Linked DNA regions of Tamandua tetradactyla. The protein of the gene in region 3 interacts with the protein of the main gene of each other region in a pairwise test. Links are inferred from orthologs where the notes say so. Each region holds a gene or a part of one and is shown on either strand. Other genes may lie near its edges.

Region 1 (10,663 bases), about 47 Mb from region 3:
TTATGATTTTTGCACGGGATAGATTATGGGGAATTGGATAAGAGTAATTATATGACATTGCATCCTAAGAAAATTCTTTTGCCAAAAGTAATACCCACTAAGATTGGTATTTTTTAGAGTGTGAATTGAGAGAGATTTCCTTCTACAATTTGAGTAATAGATCCCCTTTCTATACTTTTAATTATTTTATAGAAGCACGTTGGCCTTATTTTTATACTGGAACTGATTCAAAACCTTTTAAATTCTGTACAACAATAGGTTGCAAATTATGTACTATTGGAAGACTTTTGTTTTCTTCTTTTTCTTTCAGTTATAGACATAACTAGGCCAGTGAATTTAATCTCAATAAGTGTGTTATTTTTTCAGTTTTCCCTATTAACCAGAAGAGCTTTCATCTCAGTTTCAGCAACTCCTAAAAAATATAGTTACAATGGCTATTTTACAGATAAATTATGGGTTCCAATTATAAAGTGCTTTAGGAATTCCAAAAAATACTAAAGTATTCTAAGCACATTACTTAAGAAGACCAACAATTGCCAATACAAGTTCAATATTTTTTTTCTGTAAAAAAAATGTACATCAGTTAGATAGGTACCTATTGGTGCCAATCCAGTCACCAGGTCATCTCAGAAAATGTAATAAGATGGAGAAAGGAATTCATCTCTTGTAGAGTACCGTATATGGCTGGAAAGACATTGCCTAAGTAACAATATGATCTTTAAGGGGGTTGACTCCAATTAATTGCAAGACTTTTGCTTTATTGTGTGGATGCTAAGTGACATCCACATGCCTAAGTAACAATTAAGATCTTTAACGAGGGTGACTCCAATTAATTGCAAGACTTTTGCTTTACTGTGTGGAGTAAGCAATTAGGGAGTAGTGAATCAGAACTGAACTGTTAAGGGCAATGATGGAAACTCTGAACATTGCAATCTTTGACTCCCCATGTGGTGTTTGATCTCTCCTCTAAATATTGAACTGACATCTAAGAATATGTTTGAAAGAGTATAAATTATTAACCTTTCTTGGGTCACCAAGCATCTCTATATAGCCTCAGTGTCAATATATAACATATTAAGAATGGATTGTTCAAGATTTGAATTTGCACAAGTCAAGGACCTCCTGAATCTAGTTTTTATGACATCACTTTCTCTTGATATTGTAGTTTTAGACCTGTCTTAGCTCCTTACCCACATCAGAAATTCCATGAAAGTAGGGACCATGTCTTTTCACCTTTGCATGCTCTACAAAGCCTTGCATAATACCTTCTACATTATTACTTATCTTACCCTCTACTCTACTTACTATGATTATTTACCTTACTGTTTTATTAGATGAATTGTCACTGAGTTAATAAATGGCTTCCTTTAAGGGGCTCTTCAAATTTCACCTACACAAAAGATAATTCACATTAGCTTCACCTTTGAGCCCCACCTTTACACCTCCTAACTCTCTAACCTTTTTTCTCTCTTTGGGGATGGAAACACCTTGAGCATATTCACTCTGAAGCCCAGGCAGAACCTGAGCAAGTATCAGGAGCCGGCCTGCAGGAGGTTATTTGCATGAGGAATACTCCCCCTCCCCACAATCTGTTCCAAGATTCCAAAAAAGATCCCAAAAAGAGCCGGGAAGGTAAGCCTGGCTCAGAAAAAGAAAGACTTCATTCATTGGAAATGAAAAATAATTTTGACTGTAACATGATATCTCAACTCAAAATTATTAATTGATATCTGTATCCTAGGAAGAAGACTATTAGAGTATACGTGTAATGGCTTGAGCATTTAAAAGGAAAAAAAAATGTTACTTTTGTAGTTGAAAAAAATACCATGTCTGATTTCTGGTAAAACTGAACTTTTTTCATCAATTTATTAAGCTACTATTTCTCTTTCACTGTCTGTTCAGAGTTGTTGGCTCATTTAATTGTTAGATTAGTACTGTTTTTCTTAATAATACTCAAGATTTTTTTTGCATTTTTCTCAGGTTTTTATCAGTTCTTTTTACAGGTTCCTCTTTGTTAGTCGAATTTGGAGGAGGGTGTGTGTGGGAACTTTTTGTTTAACTTCAGGTATACAGACCCTCACACCTTTTCTGCAAGTTACACCTTCAGATAATGGTATATGATAGCTGCTAGAAATATTTTCCACTTTTTCAGAGGAAGAAAGACTCCTCTCACCTAAATATCTAAATAGTGATATAGTTGGTGATCTTCTAAATCCGAAGTCAAAAACTAGAGTTTCTGTTACATGAAACAATCTGAAAACAAGGAGCCAGAAAAAGACAAATTTAAAGGAAAATTCTGGAAGAAAATAATGAAAGTGCAAATTTGCGGTTCTCTAAAGTTTGCCACACATTGAGTTTATTGAGTTATTCTTGAGAATATTTAATGAGACGCTCAACAAAGTAATTTCTGTAAGTGGGAGTAGAAAATACTAGTTATTTTTTAAAACTGTATTGTGGAAAGTTCTGTTATATGCATGCATATGTATATGTGTATGTAAGGTATGTGTGTGTGTGAGTGAATAAAAATAAATTTCTGACCATGGTCATCTTTATTCTTCCTTCATTTTTCTAAATCTAACTCATAAGGTTATTTTTCTGATCCATTTTGGAAAAAAATTCCCCTTTACATTTTCAAATTTTATCTTTGACTTAGAAGACAGGTTATTTTCATTTTTACTTTCCTCCATCTCATGCTTCTGAGGTCCCTCATATCTGGGCTAAGAACCATTGTCCTAGAAAAGGTAGGGCTCAAATTACTCAGGATGCTGCCTGCTTAAATATGCTAGATCCCACACAGATAAAGTTATGGGATTCCATATTCTCTTTCTTTTCTCCCAACAGTTGAAATGAAAAAAAAAAAAAAGTTCAAAACACATAGTAAGCCTACTAACATGTGTCTGTTAATAGTGTGTTCTTACTGGGCTCAGTCAAACTACAGATTTTTCACCCAAATAAATTCAGAACATGCATGTTCCCTTTTCCTCTAGATGGTAATGCAAACCAGAAGTACAAGCACAAGAAGGTTATCTTATCACATTATAAATCAGATTCATTAAATTCATTGTATGGTGCCATCTTCCTACATATCCTTTAGTACTTTTGTGAAATGGCACTGTCTCCTGTCTCTCTGAGGCTACGCTAGCTTATCTTATTAATGGCTAAGTGCAATATAAACCATTCTAAATAAGTAATGTCTGCACGTGGAGAATCATAGTTAGTCATAACTGCACTATACCCTATATCATACTCACCTTCTCTTCAAGAAAAATTTCAATCCAAAGAGTCTTGAATATATACTTTTATTGAGAGGATATACCTGTTTTTCCAAAGATTTTAACACATGGGTGTTGTCTTCAGATATCTCTTAGGTTTGTAAAACAATTTGCCTGTAAGAGATACGACAGATTTTGTAAATTAAGATAGCCAAGTATATAAACACGAAATTTGGTATTAATAGCCCTGAAAGAGATCTTAAAGCCTTCTGGCCCTGACACTAATTTACTCCAAATAGTAGAGCAATCTATCTGATGTGGTGACTGGTAGAAGGGGGTGGGTGAGATGGTGTCAAGGAGACTGGTAATTAAAAGCTATTACCAAATTGAAGTTTGTTTTAATTTTAGGCTATTAAATATTACCTGGAAAACAGATTTATTAATAACCATTTCTTATCTAGGAGTTCTTTCCACCACAAAATGTAAAGCCTTAACTTATTCATCAGTGGGTTATATTCTGAGACACAGGTTATCTATCATACAATGACTGCAAGTTTTATAAAAGTAATTGTTTTAAGAACAATGGAGTAAAAGATTTCCTGGTCCAATCTATGCAGACAGCAGATATTTATCTAAGTTCTTAGTGAGGATTTACTTTTTTATTTTTCAGAAATCTTATTTGAAATATGGCTCAGAGTGATTTTCTCTATCCAGAGAACCCAAGGAGGCGGCAGGAAGTAAATCGTCTTCACCAGCAGCTTCTTGACTGCTTATCTGACAGCTTCCATGCAACCAATAAACTTATTGGGGTTCTAAATAAGCACTTGGGATGCAAGTTGGCCTCCATTGAGATGAAAAGAGATGGAACCATCAAAGAAAACTGTGATATCATCATACAAGCCATGACAAAAATTCAAAAGGAATTGCAAAAGGTTGACGAAGCACTAAAAGATAAATTAGAGCCAAACCTTTACAGAAAACTTCAAGACATTAAGGAAAGGGAGACAGAGAAAATTGCCATAGTGCAAAAGGTTATTTCAGTCATCCTGGGAGAAGCCACTTCTGCAGCCAGTGCACTGGCTGTTAAACTCGTGGGCTCCAGTGTCACAACGGGCATAATTAACAAGCTGGTCACTGTGCTAGCTCAAATTGGTGCCTCTCTCCTTGGCAGTATTGGAGTTACTGTTCTTGGCCTTGGCATAGACATGATCTTCCGTGCCATCCTGGGGGCAGTGGAGAAAACACAGCTTCAAACAGCCATCAGAAGTTATGAGAAGCATTTGGTGGAGTTCAAGTCAGCCTCCGAAAAATATCATCATATTATTACTGAGGTCACCAACACAGTGGAACACCAAATAAAATAAACAGGCATTTGATTTCTCACTGGAATATTTTTCTGCTTCCTTCTCATTAATAGTGTTTTGCTTCCTTGATTAGGTTCATTTTCCATACACTTCCAAAAAGGGTACAAACTGAGTAAATAGTTTGGAAAGTGGGGATCAGAAATGCGAAAACTAAGGCACTGGAGTTTCTTTTTGTTTTTATCAATGAATGCCTGGGTCAGTCGGTCCTAGAGCCTTCAAAATAAAAGATTATGTAAATTCTTGCTCTACCTGACCAACATTGGGGCAAACGCTATTGTAGAGCAGCAGGGGTAGTTACCCTTTCTTTTTCTAATCCCTAGTCAAAATTCTTAAATTTACATTGAATATAGAAATTCTCATTTCCATCATTAGTTTCAGCCATCAACTAGTTCTAAGGGGACATACTTAGCAACTGCTGCCTAAACACAAGCTGTAGGCCTTCAACTGGAATTAAAGTATTACCATATTTTCAATCATAAGATCAAATCCAATTTTCTATAAACTGGAAGAGACTAAAAAATGGTTTGTACCAATCTGTTTTAATGAATAGTAGCAACGGTTCCATGATCATCTGCTAATTACACACTGTAATCTAGATGGATTAAAAATATGAAGTTGAAAGTTAAAGTTAAAAAGATAGGGGTGCACGGGTAGAGTGCTCACCTTTCATGTGGGAGACCCAGGTTCAATTCCCAGACCATACACCACCCCCCCCCCCCCCAAAAAAAGATAAAGGTCCGTTTCTGCCGTTGCAGTCAACTTGCGATATTCTGATCGAGTATCCCGCAAGTCAATATTTGAACCCTCTGGAACATAAAAATAAAAACTCCAGCCATACACCAATAAAATGCATTTGGGATACAGGAGAGGCAGCCCCTACTCTTTTAAGAAATTGTCATTTATGGGAATGTTATCCTTTATTACCTATGAGTTTTCAGAGAAAAAGAAATTAATTTCATTTTCAATAATAACAAAGTAGGCAGCTGTCTCTGCTATACAGAGCTTTTGCTGGCTAATTCCACTAATTACCTAATTTCAGGAAAATTCAGAGGCTACATAGGCCTAATGGTACAGTTGAACTGTTCAACAGATACAAGTGCTTTCTGAACCCATCACCAATTAGTGACATTCCATTAAGACTCTTTTAGCCTCTACTTAAGAAAATTAATATACTGCTGTGAGAATGTTGTATTTGATTCTTGTCCCAAAGTACAAGAAATATCTTGAAATTTAAAACACTCAGCATATCTCAAGTCACAACGTTAGACATAAGACCTTAATTTTTCAAATGTACTTTGTGCTTTCTTTCCATCAATGCTTTTTTAGTTCATTGCAAACAATGTGGCTCACCCTCAAAAGTGAATCTACTAAGACGAAGGTTAGTTTAAGTAAGGGGCCTACCTTATATTCTTTAAGTCCATTTTGACTAATCTACTAAAAATTAACAGCAACATAAATATTCTGAAATATTTATAATTGATAGAATTGGCCTAAATCTAACTTGTTTTCTTACAGGGGAAACTTAATTTAGGATCAGAAGTAACCAAGCAAAATTTTTTTCAATATTTTAGCTTACCTTTAAGGGGGAAAGAGAAATGAGGAGTTTTAGGGAAAGAGGGAATAGAAAAGAAATGACTACGTCTAGAGATGGTAAATATTTCCAAACGTGTAAGTGACGTCATAAAGGACAGTCAGGCAAGGAGCCAACAAAATTAAACTCGCCAATAGTAAATGTACAACTGAATGCACATATATCCTTCAGTTCCTCTTCAAAAAACAAATCCTGTCGATTAGCATTCTGGATCCCTAATGCAGGCACTGATGTGCTCAGGGGTCTGTGTGTTCACAAACCATTACTGAACTCCGGGATGTACCAGACGCCCACGTGGGCCCACCTGACCCTAGCAAAGCGCCTCAAACACAGCGCCAAGCGTTATTCGGCAACTCGCTTTCAAATGGAGTTGCGCCCAAAGGACCGCATCCGCTTAAGTCACCAGAAAAGGAAAAATCCAAAAAGGAGCACAATTCCCAGGAGATACAATCAACGTAAGACATCGTCCCTACGTTCAAAATACGGGTCTCGGTCCACACAATAATTGATGCCCCCGGATATTAAGTCAGAACGGCCGGCGTTGGGGGGGCGGGAAGGGAAACAGGAGTGCCTTGCCATCAACCAATTAGATATCTGCCCCAGCTTCTCTTTTATTATTCCTATAGGACTAGGAGTCTTCGTACTGCGTAAAAAGGCGGGCTGTTAGCAGACAGCCAACCAATTTAGTATTTTAACCAAGCGGAAGAGAGCTTGATCCTAGTGTTCTTGGGTATTCTGGATGGTCCCCAAGACTGAAAAACGGTAAGAGACCGTCCACCCGAAGACACAGGAAGTGACGTACCGATGGCGGAGGGGCGCGAGCTTTCAAGATGGCGGTGGCTGGCTACCTGAACGAGGGGCTGAGGTGAAGACCCCTACGAAGTAAAAGAGGCCAGAAATCGCCCACACCCCAATTCTAGCAGTCCCGGGAATTCAGCAGAAGTGTGAGTGTGCGGGTGGTTCCACTCCGCTTTTTCACCTTTCCCGTCCCTTCTAGGGCCCGCGCGGGTGTCTTGGAACTCCAGGCCCCGTTTCTGCGTTCTTCCTCGCCCTGGTTGGTGTCTCTCGAGTCTCAATTTGGGGGATCCCCGGGCCGGAGACGTCGCGGTTTCCAGCGCTTAAGAGATAGTTTTATCTAGGTTGGTTGGCGCGGCTTCCTCTGCACGTTGACCGGCTGCTCTACGTTTCACGTCGTCTTGAGCCTCGAGTCAGGGTCAACCGTCGTTATAGTTTCGGCAGTTGCTGCTAGTATTGCCTCCTTTGGCGGACCTGGACCCCGTCCCCTGGGAACCTTTTTGGCTATTTTCAAGTTACCCAACGTTTTGTGGCCTGATTACCAGGTGGCCTCTGTTTTAGACCAAAAAAAAAAAACAGTAGTTTGTGCGGACTAACCCACCAGTGTATTTGTAAAGATTGACTATAATCTGTGGGAGAGGGTCAAAACATCAGTCTGATAATTGAGAGAAGAAAGCAAAAGAAATACAGGCAGATCTGAGAGCTTATATATGCACTTACTTTGCTTGTTCCCTCACTCGTGGGTTTTGTTTTTTTCGTGAGAAAGTAACAGTGACAGGCTAAATTCATTACCGCTAGAACAGCTCGGAAGCATCTAGCAGAAATCAGGTTAATTGAACATTTATTTTAAGAAGTAATACCGTAATCAACTGATCTGACAATGCCTGTGTAAAGGGAGAGAGAATATAATTGTATAATCTACCAAATAATCTACTTCATGATCTTCCCTTTGGCTCTCTTTTAAAAGTGCCTGCTTTCTAAAGAGAGGAAATTTGTTAACCCTTATCATTGTAAAGAGAGTTTTAAAAAGTTACATCTCATTCATTTGGAATAGGGGAAGAAATGATATAATATGGTCTTAGCCTAACAAAAATTTTGCGTAGAAAATATTTTCCCTCAACCACAATTATCACATTTAGGTATTTTTAAAAATACAAATCAGGAATCAAGTAGGTACTAGTTAGGAAAATGTATGTCGATAAAAATGGAAGTTTATGAAAGCTTCCTTATATAATGCTTATTTTGAGTATTTTCATTTTTAGTTTTAAATTTTTGGAAAGCAAGAGCTATATCTGAATTAGAAGTATATTTCAGTTAATGATTTTTTATGGTCTCAGAAGTGTTGGGAGAATGCATGCTAAGAAAAACTATGAATAGGCATGGGTGAACTATTTGTCTTTGGGCCCAAATTCCATACCCCTATTCTTTTTTTCATCCTACAGATAAATAAAGGGAAGCTGTAGGGAAAGGGCTAATGAATGGCTTCCGGTGTTCATGGTTTGTGCCATATTGCTGAAAGTGGTTGATTTTTTCAGTCAACAGTCAGAGTTATGATTGATTTTTTTTTAAGGCTACATTGATGATTTAATCATATGCACAGTGCTTTTCAGACCCTTTGTCTTACTAATGAACGTTAAAGATCTAATTTTTCCTTGTCAAGAAAGTTGAGGCCATCTTTCTTGGATACTAAATTTGAGAATAAGAACAAGTTCTCAAAAAATTAATCAAGACTATTTCTTGTCAGATATTAAGGTACTCTAAAAAGGGGAAAAAATTATGAATACAGAAAAATGTAAGTTACTTATTTGTATTTTCAGGTTGCCTTTTTTTTTTTTTGATGAAGAAGTAAACAATACAGATTTTAAACATGGGACGGAGATCTACGTCATCCACCAAGAGTGGAAAATTTATGAACCCCACAGACCAGGCCCGTAAGTGTCCATTAATGTGCAATGATAAGCAAATGTTAAGGAATGGTAAAAAGTGTAAGCATTGGGGAATCTGTTTATATCATTATGGCATAATTACAAGATCAGTAGTGATATACATCAGTTGTAGAAAGTTAACCATTGTTCTTGTGAGTGGTAAAAAGTATAAGCACTGGGGAATCTGTTTATTTCATTGTGGCATAATTACAAGATCAGCAGTGATACACATCGGTTGTATAAAGTTAACCATTGTTCTTGTGAGCACATGAGTTAAACTTCTAAGATGTAAAAAAATTAGTATTTATATTACCAGTTTCAAATTTGATTGGTTTGCAGTACAGTAGAATTGGCTTAAAGCTTTCTTTTTATACTTAGAATTTGAACAGATGAGGTTTATAAGCACTCATTTAGTAGGTTATGGTATTTTTTCCTTCAGATTCATAATTATTTTTTTAAGAAGCTTAAAAATGCCTCAAGAATTTTTGTTTGTCACAATTACTTTTAGCACTTAGTGGCTAGAGGCCAGGGATGCCGCTAAATATTCTACAATGCATCAGATGGCCTCCCACGACAAAGAATTATGCATCCCCGATGTCAGTTGTGCCACAGTTAGAAAGCATTGCGTTTTGAAAACTCAGTTATTAGTCTTCCTAATCTAAAATGTGGAAATTAAAGTCCTCTCAGAGTGAAAATTGTATTAAATTGGAGACAATGATAATGTTCAAGATTCTGAAGTTTTATTTCTCCTTTTTAAGGAAAGGAAGCTCGGAAGAGAGAATTAAAGAAGGTATGGTTTCAGAAGCATCCTTTGTAGCCATAAGTATTGTTTGGTGTATCTTGTGATAATTTGCTGAATTAGTGAAAGGATATAAATGTGAAACAAAACAGCTTTATAAACCCATTATCTTGAATAGGTAACTATGGTGTTTTGGGCAAAGTTCTTCCCAAGAATAAGAAAGGATTTATTTTTTAATATCATGCATTTAAAACATTTAAGGAACTCAGAATTCTAGTAGTTTTCACTTATGTTTTCTTTCATTGTTTAGCATTAAATCTTGAGAAACTTTTCTCTGTTCTGATAGATAATTTTAGTATTTGATTGCAACTTTTGTTAAAAAAAGAAATCTAAAGAATAAATTTTTTAAGCAACTGCTAAAAATCTCACTAGGTTAAAATAATACTTTCCTAAGAAAGCACATTTTGTAAATATCACTTATCTTTTTGACAAAAGTTGAAACCCTTTTAAGAGCAAAAAATTTACGTGGCTCTTTTCTAGTTTATTAAAACAAATGGTCAGAAATTAAGGAGTGGATCAAAATCCTGTTTAAATAAACAAATTTAAAAAACACCCACGAGTGCCCAACCTCTTCATATTCTGCTCCTTTTATGTTTCTAAGAACAAAAAACAGCGTATGATGGTACGAGCTGCAGTTTTGAAGATGAAGGATCCCAAACAGATTATCCGAGACATGGAGAAATTAGACGAAATGGGTAAGAATTTTTTAAAAGGCAAGAATTTCATAGCAGATGTAATAGAAGCACATGGGGCAAGCAGGTAATGAGTGAAGCAGCTTTAGCATAAGAAAGAAAGAAAAGCATAATGGTGTTTGACACTGTTGTCAGGGATTGGAGGGGGTGGGCTGTTGCAAACAGGCGAGCTCATGACTTTAAAAAACCACTATTTTTATTTTTATTTTTAGCTAACTTTGTTATAAGATAAATCCAGTAGGACTAGATCATTTTTTTTGAGAGAAGGTTGAAATTTGGTTTATG
Region 2 (10,948 bases), on a different chromosome or scaffold from region 3:
TCCATAATAAAAAAAAAATTACAAACACATAATGAAAACCAAAAGGATGATAGAGAAGTGAAAAGGCTTCCATGCTGACATGCATTAGACACCGTGTCATAATGGAAAACAAAAAGTTACATGGCATTTTCCTGGGTTATTATTGGTGCTATTTCAAAACTGCCAGTTTTGATAACAGAAAGAAAACAGCTGGGCTCTGCCAGGCTTTCAATAAGTAACTTTCACAGAATAAAAACATGGCCATGATCCCCAGTCCTAAAGTTTCTAATCATAATTAACCATCAAGGGGCTTAGCTGAAGTCTTCAGCCTTTAAATCAAGGGGGGGGGTGGTGGAAATATACTCCCTAATGACCTAAGAAACTAGAGGAAGAAACTAGGGGAAGGGGTGTGGATGTAGGTAAGGAAACAAGAAAAAAATTATCCATTACTATTAAGCAGCAAAAGACCTTGTTAAGAAAAAGAAACTGATAAAATCCTCAGCTTAAAAAAAATTGGGGGGGTGGATTAAATTAGTTTGTACTATGACAATACTTTCCAGGTGTCTGGGAAAAATAAAACAATAAAAAAAGTTTTTCCTAGACTAACATTTCAATTTTCTCTGGCTGGACATAAATGAAAATATTAAACACGAAATCTCAAAGATATTTAAAACATTTCCAATAATGTAATGTTACCACTACTGTTTAAATATGAAAATAAGAGCTTGAGAAAAGTTAAAAAAAAAAGCATAGCAAGGCATTTTATGGTAACTTTTCATAAATTCTGCAACACAGGTTATGTCTGATTTATGCCCAATGAAACAAAAGACCCTACAAACAACTCTCTATTATTAACACCAGAAATTTAAACGGATGCAAAACCCAAAACTATATCTTTGCTGAAGAATACTTATTTCCGAAAAATGCAATTAAATTAGAACTGAATCTGCTACACCTCTCTGGAAAAGGTCAGTTAAAACACCACCATACACCAATCACTGACTAAAGAATTCTGATTTTAAAAGCACCTACTCACTTCCTGCATACTAGTGTAATCGAAAGTCACATATGGTTTGTAACACAGTCCTCAATTTTTACTGAATAGATACGGCTACAAACCAAAAGTGCATATATGGGATACAGTAGAACTCAAAAAATGATGATAAAAACGCGCACTTAAAACAAACTCTCTGGGAATAAACTGTGCATTTTAAGAAAAATACTCAATATACCTGATTAAAATAATTACATTTCTATATAATTTATCAGCTTATACTTTTGAGATCCTGATCAAATTTTAGTCACACAAATATTTCTGATACAGGAATTATTTACTTACACACCAATCAAGTAATTTTTAAGTATATGCTACCATCTTTATACAATCACTGGTCTCTTTTCTTCAAATTCTGACCTACCGAAAAAAATTTTGGTTTTGTAACTTCAAGGGTTGTTTTTTTTTTTAAGCTCAAGGTTAAAAAATTTAAGAAGGGAGAAAAGTAACAAGGTGGGAACTCCTAGTTAAAGCAAGTCCATCTGCCTGCTACTTCTAGGGCAACCTTTACACCTAAAATAACAACTAAACTGTCCTGACTTCTATTTTTAAAGAGGTTATAAAAATATAAAAAAGAAAAAGCTATGACTAAACAACCAACTAAAAAGAAAATTGCCTTTGATGCTGTATCCCATTACACATCACAAAACAGGAACCATGTAAAAGTAGTAAATACAAATTACACATGTATCTTAAGACGCACCACGGACAATGATCATGACCAGGTAATCTTCTTCAGATTTAGCCAGTGCCTTGGCAGGGGAATCCAGGAACTGCTGGGAGAACTCACAGGGTGGGAAGGCATGAAGGACCCCGGTGTTCTCCTTGTCTTTGTTGCCCCCTACAGGGAGACTGATCACCCCAGCGGCCTGCTTTTGCTTTAAATAGGACACGAGGTTCCTAAGAGGCCTCTGGGTAGAGGTGGCAGTATCTGATGTGGCCAAAGAGGAGGAGGACCGGCTGTCAGAACTTCCAGGCACAGCCAGAAGAATGGCATAACCATTGGGCCCTGCCACTTTGATGCGTCGAGTTACTTCATCCAACTTGGGCTGGTCCAAACGGAGACGCTGAGTGATCTTGAGCTGGGCTACCTTGCCTCCAGTTGAACCCTCCACAAGAAGACTACTAGCCACTTGAAGGTCACCCTGCAACAGATGCATGTTGGATGGGAAATTGCTGTTCTTCAGTAGAAGCATGCCCTGCCAGGCCAAACAGAGTTTGGGAGAGGATGCTGCTGCAGGTGCTGCCCCACCATCCTGTTTCTGGGAAGGGGATTTCAGCTTCGATGAAGCAGTGCTGGTGCTAGGTGCACTCCCATCTGACCGGTCTTCTTTTTTCAGAGGGCTTTTACCCTCGGTGGGAGCAGCTGTCCGGTGCTTCCTATCCCGTTCTGCTGATGCAGAATTTTTACGGTCTCGCTTGTCACCTTGGCTCTTCTCCAAACTACCTCGTCTGTCTCTGATTGGAGAGGGCCTTTCCAAGAGGAGAAGACGGGAAGATCGATCATTGTCACTGTTATAGCGATCCCGGCTACTGCTCAATTCTGGACTGCGGTCAGGAGAAGGGGCACAGTGACGTTTTCGTGGACGGTCACTATCAGGGGACCTATCCAGATGCCGTCCCCCACTCTCCTCAGGCAGTCTTCGCTTCCTAGGCTGGTCTCTGCTGCTGGGCAGATCTCTCTCACCTCTGTCCCGGTCCAAGGACCAGCCATCACGCCTGCGATCAAGGTTATCCAATGGCTCATAAGCAGGCACAGCAGTTGCTGCAGTCCGAGTGCTGCGTTCACGGACTGGGGGCGGTGGTGGCACCCAATCAGAATCAGGATAAAGGTCCCTGTCACGATCTCTGTACAGTAAGGGTGGTGTCCTGTCCCGAGCACCTCTCAAAGGGTCAGGTGCTCGATGTCCAAAAGCATCTGTCACCAATTCGTAATGAGTCAGGGGAAGAGGCTGCAGATATTGTTGTTGGTAACGATGTTCCGTGTCTGCAAAGTCTACTCTAAGGCGACGGTCTGGGCCACCAAGTGGGAAGCCCCGCATATGGGTCCAGGCAGCATGAGCTGCATCCAGGCTTTCATACTGGATATATGCCCAGCTATCACCTTTGCGGTAGTCTATGGTGCGTATAGTGCCAAATCTGTCAAACTCCCGTGCCAGGGCAGCAAGAGGCACCCAAGGTCCCAAACCGCCTACCCAGAGGCGGGTGGTGGGTGTGGCTTTACCATAACCAATTTTTATAGGATTCCGAATTATAATTTTGCCAGACATTGCTAGTTTGGCTCGGTGAGACATGTCCAGGTTCTCGAATTTGAGAAAGCCGTAGGTACTGGTCTGGCCTCGAGAAGGCCGCTTGATGTCTACTTCTGTGATGACTCCAAAGCGATCAAAAGCCCTTCTTAGATCACTCTCTGTCACAGTGATGTCTAAGTTACCCAAGAAAAGCGTCCGGTTTGCTCGCTGATCATCCTCAGGTGAAATCTCATCCACTTCTCTGAAAGGAGCCGCACCGGCTCCACCTCCCACTCTTGGCTCAAGACTGTAGGCTGGACGCACTCTCTCATAAAACGGATAGTCTCGCTCTCTCTCCAGCTCTCGGGGCAACGGTGGCGGTGGTGGTGGAGGCAGGCGGCCAAGAGCCAACTGCTGCAACCGGTAGTCTCTGTACCCCAAGGCAGCACCACCAGGGGAAAGTGATCTCTGGCCTCCACCACCTCCCCCAGGAGGGTGCCGGTGTCCACCTACAGAAGCCCCAACCACACCGCCTGACGCAGGATAAGTATCTTTGTCTAAAGGAGAGCGGCTGCGGCGTCTGCTCACATACACAGCCTCTATCTTCAGGGGCCGGTCATAGAGCACTAGGCGGCCTCTGGCATGCTTGGCCGCCCGCGCGTCCTCTGGCCGCCGGAAGTTCACAAAGGCTACCCGTTCATCCCCGCTGCCAGAACCCGAAAGATGACTGATTTTGACACTTACATCACCGAAGCGTTTGAACTCGTGAAATAGACCGTCCTCCACTGCTTCGTCGCTCAACTGGGACCCCAACTCGCTTATCTTCAGCGTCTTGTATTCCCCGCTGTCCCCACCACCAGGAGTTGAGGAGGCGGCCCCAGAGGAACGTGACTCCCCGCCTCCACCCCGGGAGCTGCTGCGCGACTCGCCCCCGCCCGAGGAATTTTTGGTGCTTGGGGAGCTGTAACTATGTAAGCGGCTACTGGCGCTGCCCCCACCAGTGTCATACTCGCGGCTGCCACCTCGGCTGCTGGACTTGTCCAAATGAAGGCTCCGCCGCGACCCGCCGCCGCCGTCGGTCTTTCCGCTGCTGCTCCCATTGCTGCCTCCAGAGCCTCCTAACTTCTTGCTCCGCTCCGCGCGGGAAGTCGAGTCCTCACCACCACGAGAACGTTTAGCCTTGACTGGTGAGCGCTCTTTTCCCTTCATCGTTGCAGGTCGTCGCAGGTCGTCTCCGCGGAACTGATTAACCCGCCGCCGCGCGCTCGTTTCACACAGCGGAACCGCACGCCGCCATCTTGGACTCCGCCGCGGAAAAGGATCCCGCCCCGTAGTCCTCATTGGTCAATTAGCATCTCTGTTCTACAGTCTCATTGGAAAAACTGTTTGTCTGTCTTTACATCTCCCCGCTCTCCGGGAAGGTGCCCGCCCAACAACTGTTATTGGTCTCCCAACGCCCTAGTCAGAGTATCTCATTGGTGGTATTCATTGTCTATCTTAACGGTTCCTCGCGCCAGGCTATAGCCCCGCCCCTGCACTCTATAGTCACCTGACCCAAAGCCCGGAGGCGCTGATTGGACAAAAAGTCTGCCTTGTAACGGTACTTCTTGCGCGGCGAAAGCAGCGTTCCCACCTCTTCATCCTTTTCATTGGTTTGGGACCCCGTCCTTTAACACACTATTTGGAAAGTTGGGCCATCCGTTTTGACATTTTTTTTCTCTGAGAGGCAGTCTCACACGAATCTCGCAGGCGCGAGCGCTCTCTTTCGATCCCCTTCTTCCAACTCCTCCAGCGGCCAAAAGAAATTTAAATTTGATTGGATGTTGATGAGGAAATTGATAGGCTGGAATAACTGTCCATCACTCGCTTAAGGGGAGAGACCCATATACTGAGGAGGCTGACTGAAGGTGAAAACTAGAACACGCGCTTGCTGTGCGACGTCACTTAGATGTCGCGAGATGGTGATCATGAGCCAACTCCGCCTCCCCGCGCTTTCGCAGTTCACCCTTCAAACATTTGTTCGGTCCCGCGGCGTACTTAGCGATGCTGCAGCCCGTGGAGCTAGAAACTTCTGGGCTCCCCACCGTTCTGCCTGTGGCAGGCGAGGCACTGGGTAGGCCGTCCGGCTGTTAGAAGCTGTCCCGGGGTGTGTGCGAGGCACCACCCCCTCCGGCCGTTTCCCCAGGGCGCGAGAGAGCGTCCCCCGAGGTCACTGGGACCCGCGCGGCCGGCAGGGGCCAGGAGTTCTCTTTTGACACGCGCGGGGTCAGACTAAAGCCTCGGGGTGACGCTGCGATCTGGCGCGTTCTCTCAGGGTCGGGCAGCGAGGTGGTAGCGCAGCGGGGACGCAGCCCTAGCGTGCCTCGCCCGGGAGCCGGGCTTTCCCTGACGCTCCCGGTTCCCACCCACGGAGCGGCGGTAACCCAGGGGAGTGACCGCGATCCCAGCGTCTCTGTTCGCGGGCGTGGCGGGAACTGTAGGGCTATAGCGGACGTATGTCTGGGCTTCCTGTTTTATGTTGCGAATGCACGTGGTTTGTCTGTTCTTGGCGCTGTAGTCTAGCTGTATTTGTTTTCATACGCGTTACCTCTCCCCTTGAGATAACCGGGTGAGATTTACACCCGCTGCAGATGCGCCGCGCTTTCCTGCCCGCACCTGCCCGCATCCCCGGCTATTCTGCATTAGAACCCAGTAGCGCAGCCACCTGGCTGTCTCCAAATCCACCTCTTTTACCTCCGTCAATGATTATCCAACTCTCATTCTTTGCACAGACCTTTATTGTGTCAGACGCTGTGCGAGATGCTGGGTGAGGCCGGGAATTGGCTGACACCGAGAATTTCACCGTCTGCTGGAAGGAAGTAGTGCCGAGTAAGAATAAGATCCCGAAAACTTGAAAACTGCCTAAGACGGGTTCGCAGCTCTGCATTAGATCTGCTTCCCTTTTTTAATAATTTTAGGGGAAGTGATGAAGGGGCCTTTCATCTTTTGATAAGATCAAAGAAACCTGAAAGAGGCCCACAATTAAGTGGATATGTAAAACATAAAAATCCACAGTGAAATAGTGTGTAGATATACCCACTGGATTAAAAGTAACTACTATGGGCGCCAGCTACCATGCCGTGAGATTCCCCAACTGAGGCAGTCTAGTTGACAGTCCCAACTGAGCACCCGGGTGACAGCCAGCACCAAATAAATGCCCGTGGGCGTGAAGCATTTTCCATGTTCCAGACCATTCAAGCCTCTAGGTGACCGAAGTCCTGTCAGACACCAGATGCCACATAAGAGCCAAGCAGCTTGAGACATTAAGCCTACAGCAGCTGATAGATAGATAGTAAATCATTATTTAAAAAAATAAACTGGCTACCAAAAGTTTCATAAGGTGTCTAGTATGCTACCATTTGTGGTTTTAAAAAAATGTATATAAATATTCATACCCACACATATATATGTATCTTTGTATATTCGTAGAAACCTACTTGAAAAATACTGAAGAAAATAGTTACCAGGTTACCCTGAGGATGGGAACTGAGAGTCTGGAGTAAGAGAGGGAGACTTAACTTTTCATTGTGTATCATTGTTTTGCTTTTTAAACCTTTGTTTTACCATGTGCCACTCTTTCAGTTTGAAAAATAACAATTCTTTTTCACTTACAAAGAATACTCTGAAGAACCCGGCACCTAATTTCTGGGGTTTTTTGGGGGTTTTTTTTTGCCTTCTTTTATTTATTTATTTATTAAACATAACATACAAGAATATTCTTACTATATGATCATTCTATTCTTGATATATAATCAATAACACAATATCATCACATAGTTGTATATTCATCATCATGATCATTTCTTAGAACATTTGCATCAATTCAGAAAAAGAAATAAAAAGAAAAAAATTCATGCATACCATGCCCCTTACCCCTCCCTTTCATTGATCACTAGCATTTCAGTCTACTAAATTTAACGTTTGTTCCTCTATTATTTATTTATTTTTAATCCATATGTTTTACTCATCTGTCCAAATTGTAGATAAAAGGAGCATCAGACACAAGGTTTTCACAATCACACAGTCACACTGTTAAAGCTATATGATTATACAATCATCTTCAAGAAGCATGGCTACTGGAACACAGTGCTACATTTTCAGGCACTTCCCTTCAGCCTCTCTCTCCATTATACCTTAAATAAAAAGGTGATATCTATATAATGTGTAAGAATAACCTCCAGCATAATCTCTTGACTTTGAAATCTTTCAGCCATTGACACTTTATTTTGTCTCATTTCTCTGTTCCTCCTTTTGGTCAAGAAGGTTTTCTCAGTCCCTTGATGCTGAGTCCCAGCTCATTCTAGAATTTCTGTCCCATGTTGCCAGGAAGGTCCACACCCCTGGGAGTCATGTCCCACATAGACAGGGGGAGGGCAGTGAGTTTGCTTGTTGTGTTGGCTCAGAAAGAGGCCACATCTGAGCAACAAAAGATACTCTCTGGGGGTGACTCTTAGGCCTAATTTTAAGTAGGCTTAGCCTGGTCCTTGCGGAGATAAGTTTCATGCAAACAAACCCCAAGATTGAGAGCTCGATCGATTGTTTTGGTTGTCCCCACTGCTTGTGAGAATATCAGAAATTCTCCACATGGGAAAGTTGAATTTTCCCCCTTTCTCGCCATTCCTCTGAGGGGACTTTGTAAATACTTTTTTTATTTACTGTTCAAATCATTCTGGGATTTATCAGGACATCACTCTGGAAAAACCTACACAATCTCATGCCCTACTCAAGATTCTGTGTATTTATGGTGTTCAATTAAACTGTTCACATAAGCTATATTAGGAAATGCACTAACCAAAATATAAATTTTGTATCAAATAAACATTTTTTCCAGCACCTAATTTGAACAATTAACAAATCATTTCAATCTTGTTTCTCTCTAACCTCTTCCCACTCTCCCTCTCTCCATTATTTTGCTGCAGGCTTATCTAGTACATTATCTGTACCACCGCACAACCCCAGTTCTCCAAGGAGTTCTGGTTCCTTTAAATGGAAGATGGTATTTAGAGATAAGAATCTAGACACTAGGGGGTTTTTTAAAAAAAACTTGCAGTATTTGTCAACACTCGAAATGCTCAAAGAAAAAGCTTTAAATAGAGAGTTTGAATCTATTTTAAGGTTATATTCCTACAACACAAAGGGAAACTGAAGGAACCCCGTTACCTGATTACTCAAATCATTAGCTGATCCAGATAAACCAGTCTCCAGAATTAATACTTTTGAACTAAACTGACTTGCTTAGTTGACTCACTGATTAAAGAAAAAGATAATAGTTAAATCAGTACAGTTTCCCAAAACTAATTATAGGGGTTGAGGAAACACAAGAATTCAGGGAAAGAATTCCAGTTTGTACTGCCTGCTGGACAAGCACCAGTACAAATGTGTGGTAGTGCCTGAGGCTTCCAGGCTTGACTTGCTGCTTGACATACCAGGGGGCATGATGGAAGCAACTGCTCACAGTTGGCTGCACTAGTAATGCTTGCCTGAGGGAATGGTAGACTTTTTGGAGACGAGAGGACTGGTGGGATGGTAGCCTTCTTGGAGACAAGAGGACTGGTAAGTTTTATGGTTAGTCTGTAAAGAGCTTTACCAGTGAAAGAGCCAAAACATAATGCCTGTAATGTGTGTGTGTTCACAGTAGAGCTAAATAATGCCAAAATATGTTGGATCCATAATGTAGTTAAAAGAAGTGATTTGTTTTATTTTCTTTTCCTTTGTCTTAAAGCATGAAGCTGTTTAGTGAGTTTTTATCAGCTGATTTTACACATGTCTTTTAGAGGGGTTTGAGGTAGGATTAAAGTGACCCAGCGTTTAAGAGCCAGAACTTTGAAAACTTTTTCTGGTATTGGTGAGGAAGTTGAGATTCGGTCCAAGCTTTCATTTGGTCTCCTTGTGATCAAATGGCCGGATTTGTGAGGTTACCTGACCTGGGGTGAAGAGGATCTCTCAGTGGTCAAGAAAACAGTTAAATTACCAACAACTTCCCGGAGCAACATAGCAGCATGTTGATCTCTCCTTTTCAGTGCCCTTATCCCAAGTTAGGAAATAATAAGGAAAAGTTTCATAGCCTGTTCTGGAATGAGGGTGACCCCTTGGAGCCGTGCAACTCTAAGGTCCTAGAAGACACAGCCCAGCAAGAGAGCAGACACAACTAGCTTTCTATATGAGTCCTTTTTCTGTCTCCTTTAAAATCAGTTTTAGCTTTAAAAGGAAAAAGCAAAAGAAAAGTTATACACATGGAAGAAAACTGCAATTTTTAAAAATGTATGTTTTCAAACAAATGCCCCTCCTTTCACCCTCTTCCTGGATTTTATTCTTTTTGTATCCGCCTCCTCAATACACACACACACACACACACACACACACACACACACACACACACACACACAGTTGTGATTGCAACACAAATTTTGTCTTGGAAGTTCAAAGCCATTTATTTCTTGGTAGATACAAAATAGGTTGATGCTGGGAACTGAAAAAAAAATTTTCCACCCACAAAAATAGATGAAATTTTAAAAATCTATCTCTGTTCATAAAGTGAGTACTCTCCTGACAGGTTTATTTTGTTTGGCCTAAGGGAAAAGTATATATTTTTACACATAGGCATATATTAAATCCCTAAAATAGTAGGCAATCATTTAGGATTGTTTTCATTGTTTGTGGTATGTATTTTTAAAAACAGATTTATTTAAAAGTTCCATAAAGCTCGCTCATTGCATAAAGTTCACTCATTTAAGTTATACAATTCATTGGTTTTAAGCATATTGAACAGAGCTGTTCATGTGCTTTGTCCTTTACCATTGTCACAGAAAGCTCTCTCTGCTGTAACTTCTATATGACTAATCCCTAATGCAATAATCTCTTTCATTTATTTAGTCATTTTGTGGGTAAATGGTTAAGAGCCCGGATTAAAATTACAGCTCTGCTGTGGACCTTGGAAGAGTTCTTTTAACCTCTTTGTTCCTTGATTCTCTCATTTATAAAATGGGAATAATCATAGACTCTCCTTGTTGGGAGGATCAGATGCGTTAAAACATAAAGAGTTTAGAACTGTGCCTGGCACATGCTAAGCACTATACAATTACCTACCCAAGGGCCTTTACATTTTTCAAGTATTTATCAATAACAGTGAATACCCATGAATACAACATCCAATCCAAGAAATAGAAACTAGCAATAATTTATATCTAAGTTCGCCTCCTCTATCCTGTCGACTACCTACCCCAATAGGTAGCTACTATTCTGAATCTGACGATTATCAATACTTTGCTTTAAAAACAAATGTGTGTGTGCATACACATGCACCTTGCCAGTATAATTTTTTAGTTTTGCTTGTTTTTGTGCTTTATACAGATGATAGCATATTGTATCTAACCTTATAAACTTTGCATTTTTCATTATGGTACTGTTTTTGTGTGTAGTTGGTTTGTTTCCATTGCTATACGATATTCCATTCTACTGAATTTAACATCATTTATATATCCATTCTCCTGTTGATGGACATATAGATCATTTCCAGTTTTCGCTATTATGAGCGATGCTGGTATGAAGATTCTTATTCATGTGTCCTGGAACACACGTGCAAGAATTTCTCTGAGATAGAATGGGAAGGTGGAGGAGGGGGCAATTCCTAGGAGTGGAATTACTG
Region 3 (10,950 bases):
TTCAGACATAAGCAGATTCTGAAAAATAGACCATTAAATATTTTTAAAAATTATCTTCGTGAATTGTTTCTACCTATCTCTTCAACAAAATCCTGATCCTGGGTCAAAACCTTTAAAAAACGCATTTTCAATGTCACCATTCAACCAAAGTCAAAACACTTACGTGGGAAGTTAGCATGATGGAAAGCAAACACAGGTTTAGGACAAACATCTCCCCCTCTCACTGTAATCTCTTTCTTTCTGCGTAGCTCATCAACCTCATACTATGGAAAAAATGAGGTAAAACAAGTTAGTAAACATGTTATTCAAACAAGCAAAAGTTTATGCTCCAACCCAGTTTAACAAGAATTATCCAAACCACAAATTACAGAGGAAAGCATGTCTATTTACACTTTATATACTGTGTATATATACATGTGTGCATGTGTGTGTGTGTAAAACTTAATTTGATCCTCACAACTTTGTTTTTTTGAGAAGAGTTCCATTTTCCACCTGAGAAAACATGTAACTCAGAAAGGTAAGCGGCTTGCCCAAAACCAGAACAAGAGGGAAAGAAAGTGAAACTTATGCCCCTGAGGTCTTTCCACTGTGCTTTCTCCTAAACAAGTACCCATTTCATGGTTAAAGTCCAAAACAATCAGTATGAGGTTAAAAGAACAAACAGAAGCACAGATGTCAATATTTTAAATTTATTTAACTTACTTCATAGATTAAAAGACATGATCTATTACAGTTAAAATTATGTCTAATAAATAGGTTAGGAAACAATCAACATATGAAGGATTACATTAGGTGCATTTTTAAACTGGTTCCTCTTATGAGTGGCAGCAGTCTTAATAAGCTAAGAAAAGTACATCACACTTGAATAAATCATGACAACAGATGCATGTTTGAGTAACATTCAGTCAAAATGTTCACTTGGTTCATTGACATTTATGAAAAATAAAATTAAAAACTTACGGGAGTCAGCCTTGCCACTTCTGGATGTTCCACATAAAAATTCTTTTCAAACTTGGGGAGCTCACTCAAATCCCACTTCTTTTTACGTAAACGCTCCCCAGGATTACCAAATTTCTTCGGGGGAAGGCCACCACCACCTCTTGCTCCAAATCTAGAAACACCAAAATTTTAGTTTATATTTAAAAACAATATAGTTTACCTGTATGTAAAAAGACAGGATTCCTAGGATGCTACCATCTCCTTTCCAAAGAAAATATTTCTATACTTATTTGAAGGTATGATGGAATATATCCAAATAATAGTTATGACTATGGGTTACAATAGGTGAAAAAGTTTTAATTATCATATTTAAAGAAATACGGTGATTATGATAACTGATTCTGGAACAAGAAAAGATTTGTATTTTGTGCCACTTACTGTATAATTTTGAACAATTTAACTACTCTGTGTTTCAGTTTCTACTGTCAAGTAGAAATAATACTACCACCTATTTCATAGGGTTGCTGTGAGAATGAAATGAATTTGCACACAAGCTTACCTGTAACCTGCCTAAAAGGATGGCTAAAGGAAGGCCATTAGGTTAAGCTTAAATTAAGGGCAAGACCGTGGACAGAAAGAAAAATATACTCTTCAAGCAAGTCCCCCTAAACTGGAAACAGCTTCCCGGAACTCTTTCTCCTTGGAACAGTGATGAGCACTGCTACTGTCTATTTATATGCTAAGGAAAACTGCTAGGACCTGTAAAGGCCTATGGTTCTAAGTGTGGCAGGGTAGTCTCTACCTTTAGTTTATGCTATTATAACCACAAACCATAACAAAGGTTTATGACCTCTCTCTTTTCTCATCTCTACCTTAACCTAATCTCTTTCTTGTTCCCAAGCAAACAGTGCTATTAATGTAACTATTAGTTTACAGAATAAACCATCACACTCAACTTTATCTAAGGCTTTTAAAAACTATAAGCTTAAAAAAACCACATTATTTAAAATCAATTTATTCTCACTTTATATATCTTTTATAACAGTAACGCTCAATTGGAATTGAAATGGGACTACTGGTCAAACCTGAAAGTTAAGTAAAATTAGAAGCTAGTTTTCCCAGAAGAATCCTAACATTAAGATGACCTTCATTTCTATACTCAAACTACGTAATTGTGGAACATTGTTTGGCATGTAAATATAGTATTTTTCATTCCATTTTCTCATTCCTTGTATGATACAATACTGAATTTAAATTAATTTTCCTTTTCCACACCAACTCACTCATAACATCATCCTGTTATAAAGTTTCACTTCATAGTTGACAGCAGTAGCTCAATGTCCTCTCATTCACATTATTAGATGCCTCTCTAAATACAAAGATTGCTAAGAGAAAATTTTACCTGGGACCAATGACGATCTATACACAACAGTTCAATATTGGCTGATAAGGTATACATTACTGATGAATCAGTAAGAGAAACCAGAAATTAAAAATCAAAACAGGGAAAGCATACAGAAGGGTACATATATCAACGACATCTCTAACACGCCTTCAGGCTTAGAGCTCAATATAGAACAAGGCCACTAGTCATCCCGAATCAACCCTCCCCTCTTTACTTGTAAAGGGTGCTGCTAGCGCAATACTATTCATGAAATAAAAAGCCAAGTCTTTAGACTGTTAGTGTCTTGAAGAAAATCACAAAAACCAAAGACCAGTTTTTAGAGATTCCATCCGTCTACTTCACATAAATTTGTGGATCCCAGAAATGCCATTTTCAGGACGATTTTCCAGCGCAAAATTATACTGAAAAGTTCCTCTTTTAAAGTTTATTCTAAGCAGCCTTTTATTTAAAAATATAAAAAACAAATCCCTTCTTCCAGTCATCCTGGCTATTTACCTAAAACGTACTATTCTACACTCAAGATTTAACTTGAATGATGAGGTTCTTAAAATATATGCTGCCTACCACGTTTGTAATTAACACTGACCTCAAACCTCAGAGCCCTCTACTTAATTCCTGAGCATACGCGATGCAAATCCCCAAGTTTTTTGCATAAAGCTGTTCATTAAATCATTTTACTGATTCAGTATTAACAGTTCAACTTGGCTTTGCAACAAATACAGCTTTGAGGATTCTGTATGGACTTGGAAAATTATGCTAGTTTAAGTGTACAATGTATATCATCTTTGGACTGTTTATGTACATACAGGGCTGGCAGCCATTTCCTTTAAAGGTAACAATCCATTTCAACTATGTAATATTCAGTTAAGAATGAAACAAATTATAAAGAAAATTTTATGGTGAAGATGGATTTAGGAGTTAAGCCTTATTTAATACGTGCCATTCTGTTTAAATGAACAACTTTTAAAGTTTTTTAAAAACTGTTATCTTATACACAAGGAATATGGGGTAAACTAAGTATGGATTAGTAATTCATTCCCCCTTCCCTTTTCAGATAACTCCTCATTCAAAACATATATAAAGTAAGCAAACATGGGGCAGGCCACGGTGGCTCAGCAGGTAAGAATGCTTGCCTGCCAAGCCCGAGGACCTGGGTTCAATTCCCAGTGCCTGCCCATGTAAAAAAAAAAAAAAAGTAAACAAACACTTAACCAAACACCTACGGTAAGAAGATCACCACCATTATTTTCATAGCCTCTCAAGTGTCTGTTTCAAGTTTACAATTACCACCATTACTACTATGTTGCATTTTATTATAAAATAGTTTGCTTTTTAGTTTTACCACACCTGTTTCAATCCCTAAATTTGTCCTTCTACCATGATCTGAATTTTAGAAAAACTCAATATGTTTGGGAGTCACCCACGCTGATTCAAGTTCATTCATTTTTGTTGCTGTACTGCATTTTATTATATGAATACCCACAATGTATCCTGACTTTCGGGTTGTTTTCAATCTTCTGCCATCATGAATAATGCTGCTATAAACATTTTTTTACATATATCCTGGGGGCACGTGTGCAAGTTTCTCTAGTCCCTAGAGTCTAGGGCATAAAGAGAGGAAATTGCTGGGCCATTTTCACGGGTATTATATATTGTGAAATTCTTTTTCCTAAAGTTGGCTGTATTGGAATTCGCTTCTCAACTTAGCTATACGAAGACAACAAAAGCAAACATTCCACATTTCTAGCCTCTATGTTTAATACTGAGACTGAGATCAAGTATTTTTCCAACAACGTAGAAGTCCAAAAAGTAAATTTTTATATTGTAAATTAAAAGTGTTAATTGAGGGTTTGTGGCTAGTAAGTGGTGCTTCTTTATCATTTATCTTACCACGAAAGACAAGTAATTATTACACCCATCATCAGATGAGAAAATGAGCTCACAAAGGTTGAGGATCCTGCCCAAGGTCACATTATATTACGAAATGGCATCACACTGCTCTTTATCCAGAGATACACTTCTATAAGTAAGCACTTTTTTTTAGCCGACATTAAGGCCTGTGATCTCTGCATGTAAGAAGAGTTCAGGTTTAATCCCGCATTAGCTTCCAACCTAGTAACCCCGGGATTCCCACATTAAAACTTTCTAGGTTGTTCGAGAAGCTAGTGCTGCAGTCTGAGAAAACAGACCGAGGAGAACAGAAGATGCCAACTTTACAATAAAAACCAGAAAAGAAAAAAACAAAACCCCCTTTCTTCGTAAACACAGCAACTTTGAGTAATTCCACTGCTTTTAGTATCTCCGTGTGCTTCCTCCGACTTGAAAAAATAAAGGCGATTTAGTATTTTTTAGTACTTTGTTTCCAGTTCCGCTAAATTATCTCCGGCGATAGAGAACACGAGAAAAGCCATTTGCGCGTTAAGATTTTCCCAAGCTTAACTCGGAGGTATCATCCTCTTCTCTCAACAAAGAGCTTATGTGTTTTACAGATGAACGCTGAGGCCTGGAGAGACCAAATGACTTGCCCTAATCGGCCTGGCACTAAAAGACAGAGAGGCTCAGGACGAATATGCGGCGGCCGGGCCTTCCCCCTCCTGCCTGCAACCCACCCGGTCCCGGCCTTTCCGCTCCCCCCGGGCTGGGCCGCGCCACGACGACCGTCCGTAAGGAGTGGCTGGAGCGTCGCCAAGCAGCCGCTCCTCCTGCCAGGTCACGAGTGACCCCAGGGCCGAGACCCAGGCCCGCACACTGAACCGGTATTATCGCCCCGGGTCTCCTCGCCTCCGGGCTCGGGAAGGATCCCCTCAAATCCCCTGTTAGGGCAGAGGTTTCCGTCTCGTCAAGTACCACCTCCCCCCAACCCCCCGCAGACGCAAGGTCTTTCTTCTCCTCCCTCCCTTACCCTCCGCGGTCACGATCCCGGTCCCGGTCCCCAAAGCCGCCTCCGCGCATGGTCCCAAATGGATAGAGATCTGGGAGCGGGGCACGGATGGCCGGGCTCGGGAGGGCCTGCGGCTCCGGCCTGGTGACGACCGATGGCGGCGGCGCCTCCGCTGTTGGGGCGGCGGCAGGCGCGGCGCTTTCTCGCTCCGACGCGCTATCTCCCGTCGCAGACGCCACCGTCGCCGCCTCTCTCGTCGGAGACGGGAGCAAAACACAGAGAATCGGGGATATAAAAACGGTGGGTAGGTTTGGCTACGCTCAAACCCGGCTTCGCCGCGGTTTAGGCGTCTCCTTCCTTCCCAGCGGCTGCACAAAATGGCGGCCGCCGCTGAGACTGCTCCAGCTCAACGCTACGTACGTCAGAGACGATACGTAAACAGCGTCTTAGAATCACCCGAGGGATCGCGGGGTAATAGGGCTATTCTTGAAAGAGGTTTACGTCGATTGCGGAGATGGACACGTTTTACGGAACACGGAAGAAAAATAAAGTACGGAGCGAGCGTAGAGTTCTCGCGCCACCTGAACTAGAACGTGGGGTGGGGGGATGGGAGGGGGACGCGCCTCTGTTGCGACGAAGCATTCTTTGAGGCGTTAGTCGGCCCACTATTGCGAAGATGCGTACTATGCGTAAAGCATTCTGTTTAAAGAATAGAGGGTTTTGTTGGATTCCAGTAGCGGCACGCAACCTGAAGGCTGCTTGTGCTAGTTGCTTTATAGATAAAATAGCTTCCATGTTGCAGTCGTCAATTTTCAGGGTCTCCAAGTGTCAAAAGCTCAAGAAGATCTTAAGGGTCCTCGGTTGGCGTTTCTGGTGCCTCTGTCGACCCCTCACCCCAGTGCTCGGCCTTGTCGAGACTGACCGCGCGCCCTGGCGCCATTTCCTTTCAGTTGCTGCTCGCTGCGCTTGTGCCGGCGGCCATGATGGATGCGCCGCGTCCCGTTCCTTACGGAGTGGGACCCGCGGTGACTTGTCGGCCGTGATAAAACGCTCTTTGTTATGTTTGATTCACACAAATGCATTTCCTGAGCAAATTTTTGCACCATCCCCGGCAGAACACAATTGTGCTAACGCAGCGGTAAAATGTGGGTGAGGCATCTCTTCAGGTTGATGCGGGGGTCCCTTGGCCGCCATTAAAGGCGGTGCTCCAAGAGACCCTTGGCATTCTCTGGTAATGAACATGTTTAAACCGGTGGTCTTAAGACACAGAAGGGGGATGGGAAGCATAAGTACAAGTTTTGAACTAGGTAGGCCATATTCTTTCCGTTTCTTCTAAGCTGACTTCCCATTCCTACTTCCTGATAGCTGGAAAATATGCTTACCCTAGCTGAGTTTAGCAATCTCCTCTTTGTACTTTAGTTCCAGAAGGACATTAACCAGACATTGGAAGTTCTTTTTACAGGAATAAAATAACAATAACATCAAGAACACCCTCTGGCCCAGTGAATCAATGACTTCCTCCTCAAAAGACAAAAGTTTGAAAAGAATCCTGAAGACCCTGAATGTAGGAGCTTGGACGTTATATATCTAAAGCTAATCTCTGAAGTTGGAATAAGATGTGCTTGAGACAAAACAGAATTAAGAAATTGCTGGTACTGTCCTCACAAAGATCCAGTGTCATCCCTGACTTGACAAGAAGAAGTTGTGGACGTAACGTGGGTTTTGATCCATTTGTCCTACCCTTTACCTTTAAAAACCCTACCTCACACCCCCACTTTGAACTGGTTTGGGGACGATTCCTCCAGTTCCTTGCAAAGTGCACATGCAATAAATCTCCTTCACGCTGAGACACTTTCTCCTTTGTAGAGCTAAGTCAGGTGGGCCCTTCTATTGGAAAGAGCCATGCTTGCAGTATCAATTCCTTTCCCCTGAAACTGCAGTAAGGTCTCGAGAATTTGGCCACATAGCATCATAGAATTGTCAAGCTGTTAAGGCCTTTTGGAGATCAACTAATTTAATATCTCTTTTTTTTTTTTCCCTATGGATGGGCTCAAAGGATGCGGCAGATATGAAGCCCCTTAGTGTGGTGGCTGAGTGGGGTCTCCTATCATGTTTTCTGAGTGCTTCCCAAATTGTTAGAAAAGTGGCATAGGGAAGAGAGTTTTGTGATAGGCCATCCCAGGTATTACTTGAGCCATAGACAGCAGTGGACACTCAACCATGTATTACTTTGGACAAGTGCTGAATGCCTACCATGGGCACTGGGGCACGGTAGGGCACACACAGAATTTGTATGCTAGTGGGGAACATAGAAGATGAATGTTTATGCGAGGTAGACTCCAACTGAAGTAAAATAAAAAGAAAGGAAAAATAAAATCAGGGAAAAGGGATATACAGTGTGGGGTGGGGTAACGTGGTTAGGTAGTGTGTCCTGGGAAAGTCTCCCTAATAAAGTGACATGTGAGCAGAGAGCTGAAGGGAGGGAGCTAGTCCTGCCAGCGTAAGAGGGAGAAGCACAGGCAAAAGTCCTGTGGTAGGGCTAGTGTAACAGGAGTAGCATGAGGAGGAGAGGTAAGAGGCAAAGCCAGATCATGAAAGGCTTGTAAAGGTCACAGTAAGAACCTTTTCTTTTCCTCTGAGTAGAAAGACATGGAAGGTTTTGAATATATCCACATGATAAAAGGACTCCTGTAACTACAAGGTGAGGAATAAATTGAGGATGGTCCAGGACAAAAGCAGGCATATTACCTAGAAGGCTACTGTAGGAATCCAGGGAAGAGATGATGGGACTTGGTACAGATTAAGAGCAATGAGTTGGGAAGAACTGGTCTGATGGTGAAGGTCAGCCAATGATTTAGGGGTGGGTAGGATGTAAAAGAAGGAAGAGTCAAGGATGAAACAAATATTAAGCCCCATCTGTGATTTAGATGATAGGGTAGGCACTCAATGGTGTTTGGAATGATTTGCGCATTTATCACATATGCTAAGTAAGCTTGAGGCTCTTTAGTCAACAAATAGTATATAAAGAAAATGCAATCTTCCCTACATTTTACCAGGGGGAGCAATTCGTATTTTGCTACTAGATCAGGTCCTTTGACTTCCTAAAGTTTATCACAATATGTAATGATATATTTTTGTCATTATTTGATTAATTCAACACCACACACACACACACACACACACACACACACACACACACACACGTATGCTAAAAGATTAAAGGAAGTCTTCCTCTGGCAGCCAAGTTTCTGATCCCAAAGTGAATCTATAGAATGCATTTCTCTTTCATGATATGAGTATCTACCAAATATGATTGAAGTTTATTATGTTGTTACTAAGCATAGAAAAAGATTTTCATTAGGTAGGTCAGAAAACCTAGAAATTTCGGTAGCAGCCAAGTCTTCTGGTATAAAGCAAAAATATTCTTTGCTTAATTCATTTTTTTTTAACTAAGAGCTGACAATTATTGAATGCTTATGCTCACTAAGTGATATGAGCTTTTATTTTATCTTCGTTATTTTATTTTATCCCCAGCTGTAAAATGAGATAGTACCTCAAAGAGATGTTGGGAGGAGCAAATGAAATAATACCAGTTATGCCTGGTACATAATAAACATTCCACAGATGTTAGCTGTCATCATCTCCCCACTTTACAGAAGAGAAAGTTGTGGCTCAGAAAGGGTCAGACAGTTAGCAAATGACATAACTGGGAAACACCACTAGGTTTTAGGTTCAACATACTTAACTATAATACATATTATTTCCTTGTGGGATCACAAGATCAATTTCATTCTCTTTTAAGTTGTCAAGTTTTTCTGCGGATGTGATTTGCCTTCCACAGATTCCACCTGCCAGCAATACAATTGCCATTTTTCTCATTTTTATCTGCTTTATTGTGATTACAGCAACAAAATTTATACTTCAGACAATTTTCAACTACTAAGAAAATTATTTTAAAGCCCATACCATGAACCAACTATTCTAAGTTTTTACTGACATTCTCTTATATAACTTTCACAGTTCTTCAACTTTATAGCCATTAGACTCACCTAAATGTGAAATATAGTGCTACTGGTTTTTGTCTAGGTAGGACCCAGGTTCTTTGATACTTGGTTCAGGAACTTTAGATAGAATACTGAAGTATTCAATAAGTGCTTTAGTTTCCTGGCTGCTAGATTAAATACCTTAAGAACAGGACATTTTTTTGCTTTCTGAGGCTAGAGACCTTGCTTCCTCCCAGGGCCTTTCCCTGACTTCTGGCTGGCCGGCAATCTTTAGAGTTCCTTGGCTTTTCCATCATGTGGCAAAGCACCTGGCAGCATCTCATCCTTTTTCTTACTGGAACTGTTAACTTCCAGCTTCTGGTAAATCCCCACAGTTGTCTCTGTGCCCAATTTCTTTTGCTTATAAGGACTTTAACCATACTGGATTAAGGCCTACTCTCATTCAATTTGTCCATCTTAACTAATAACATCTTCAAAGGTCCTGTTTAGAAATGAGTTCACACGCACTCACAGGACCAGGGGTTAGCACTTAATTATGCCTTTTGTGGGAGACATGATTCAGTCCCCAACAACTAGGTAGCCTAAAGCAGATGCCTTCAAACTGTGGTATATAAGAAACATATAGAAAAGAGTTTTCAGGAAGTCTACTTTGAGAATTTTAACTTTTGTATATATTCTTTCATAAAATTGATATAAATGAAAAATTTGTTCACAATTGTTCTCTCCCACTTTACACAAGAAAAGAATACTTCTATCCAGAATATTACTTTGGACTTTGCCACGATGGAAAAGTCTCTGAGGTGCCAAAAACAAGGAAAATTAGAAACACTGGCATTGACTTTGAAAAGGTGAATGATTCTAACTACTAGGTAGCACAGTCTTTTGCAAATTAAGAGAAGAAGGACCATATGAAATATCCAATTCTTAAAGAAGAGCTTTTTCATGTATTTTTAAAGAATAATGGTGGGTATCAAATTACTGTGGTATTTAAATTCCATTGGGAAACATCTGAAAGAATGATCTGATGGTTTCATTTTTAAATGTCAGTATTTCATAAATTGCATATTTTTTAAATGATTTAAACTTACAATGAAAAAGTTCAGGTATCAATCTAAACTATTTTTTTCAGAATTTTCCTAGGGGGTAATATTTGAACACCACTGAGCTAAGAAAGTGAAACCAGACCAGATAGGCCTGGTCCCAGGAGAGATTCCCAGGAGAGCAGAACTTCATCAATCCCCCAGTTGTAGCCAGGCAGAAATTTCAGCCCAGCGATGTTAATTATTGACATCTACTTTGTGTGTGTTGGTGACTTCTGTATTAGAGGGGCTTATAATGGGAGTCCACCCTCACTAAGCGTTTTTCAGCTTTGCTATTTTGTGTAAGTCACTTGCTTAAAAAAACCTTCAAGGGCTCCCCATGATCTAAACGCCCAGCTTTGACTCTAGTCTCACATACCAGGCCTTCCAGATTCTGACCCCAACTTCTCACCAACCCTCCTGCTCCAGCAAATCTTGTCTATTCTCTATTTTCACCCACAGTTTTTACTTTGCCTCTCCATGTGTGTTAATAGAAGGACTTGAGATCCAGTTCCAAGCCCCCCACCCCCACCTTGGAGCCTTCTGGAAGTAGGGATCACCAGGCCTCTGGCACTTAGGGTTTCCGCCATTCTTTTGGCATTAATTACTTACCACCAAGAGATGGTGTGGTTCTTCCCCTAA

The links.
Region 1: the proteins of DDX17 (region 3) and WBP11 interact in a two-hybrid assay, tested with the Homo sapiens proteins (3 studies listed by BioGRID and IntAct). The link is inferred for Tamandua tetradactyla from reciprocal best matches to the Homo sapiens genes DDX17 and WBP11.
Region 2: the proteins of DDX17 (region 3) and RBM15 interact in binary tests that used the Homo sapiens proteins (3 or more experiments, as listed by UniProt). The link is inferred for Tamandua tetradactyla from reciprocal best matches to the Homo sapiens genes DDX17 and RBM15.

Annotation. Positions count from the first base shown.
Region 1 is NC_135333.1:77,378,724-77,389,386, reverse strand, and holds the start of WBP11 (WW domain-binding protein 11), read left to right. Parts: upstream 1-6,303; 5' UTR 6,304-6,622; exon of another isoform or gene 6,623-6,793; 5' UTR 6,794-7,507; exon of another isoform or gene 7,508-7,790; intron 7,791-8,779; 5' UTR 8,780-8,829; coding exon 8,830-8,893; intron 8,894-9,645; coding exon 9,646-9,677; intron 9,678-10,287; coding exon 10,288-10,381; intron 10,382-10,663. Other genes in the region: SMCO3 (single-pass membrane and coiled-coil domain-containing protein 3), read left to right, coding at 3,899-4,576. UniProt on the Homo sapiens protein: Activates pre-mRNA splicing. May inhibit PP1 phosphatase activity.
Region 2 is NC_135337.1:12,583,893-12,594,840, forward strand, and holds the start of RBM15 (RNA-binding protein 15), read right to left. Parts: upstream 4,892-10,948; 5' UTR 4,606-4,891; coding exon 1,737-4,605; intron 1-1,736. UniProt on the Homo sapiens protein: RNA-binding protein that acts as a key regulator of N6-methyladenosine (m6A) methylation of RNAs, thereby regulating different processes, such as hematopoietic cell homeostasis, alternative splicing of mRNAs and X chromosome inactivation mediated by Xist RNA.
Region 3 is NC_135333.1:30,847,443-30,858,392, forward strand, and holds the start of DDX17 (putative ATP-dependent RNA helicase DDX17), read right to left. Parts: upstream 5,540-10,950; 5' UTR 5,297-5,539; coding exon 5,247-5,296; intron 1,112-5,246; coding exon 961-1,111; intron 264-960; coding exon 164-263; intron 1-163. UniProt on the Homo sapiens protein: As an RNA helicase, unwinds RNA and alters RNA structures through ATP binding and hydrolysis.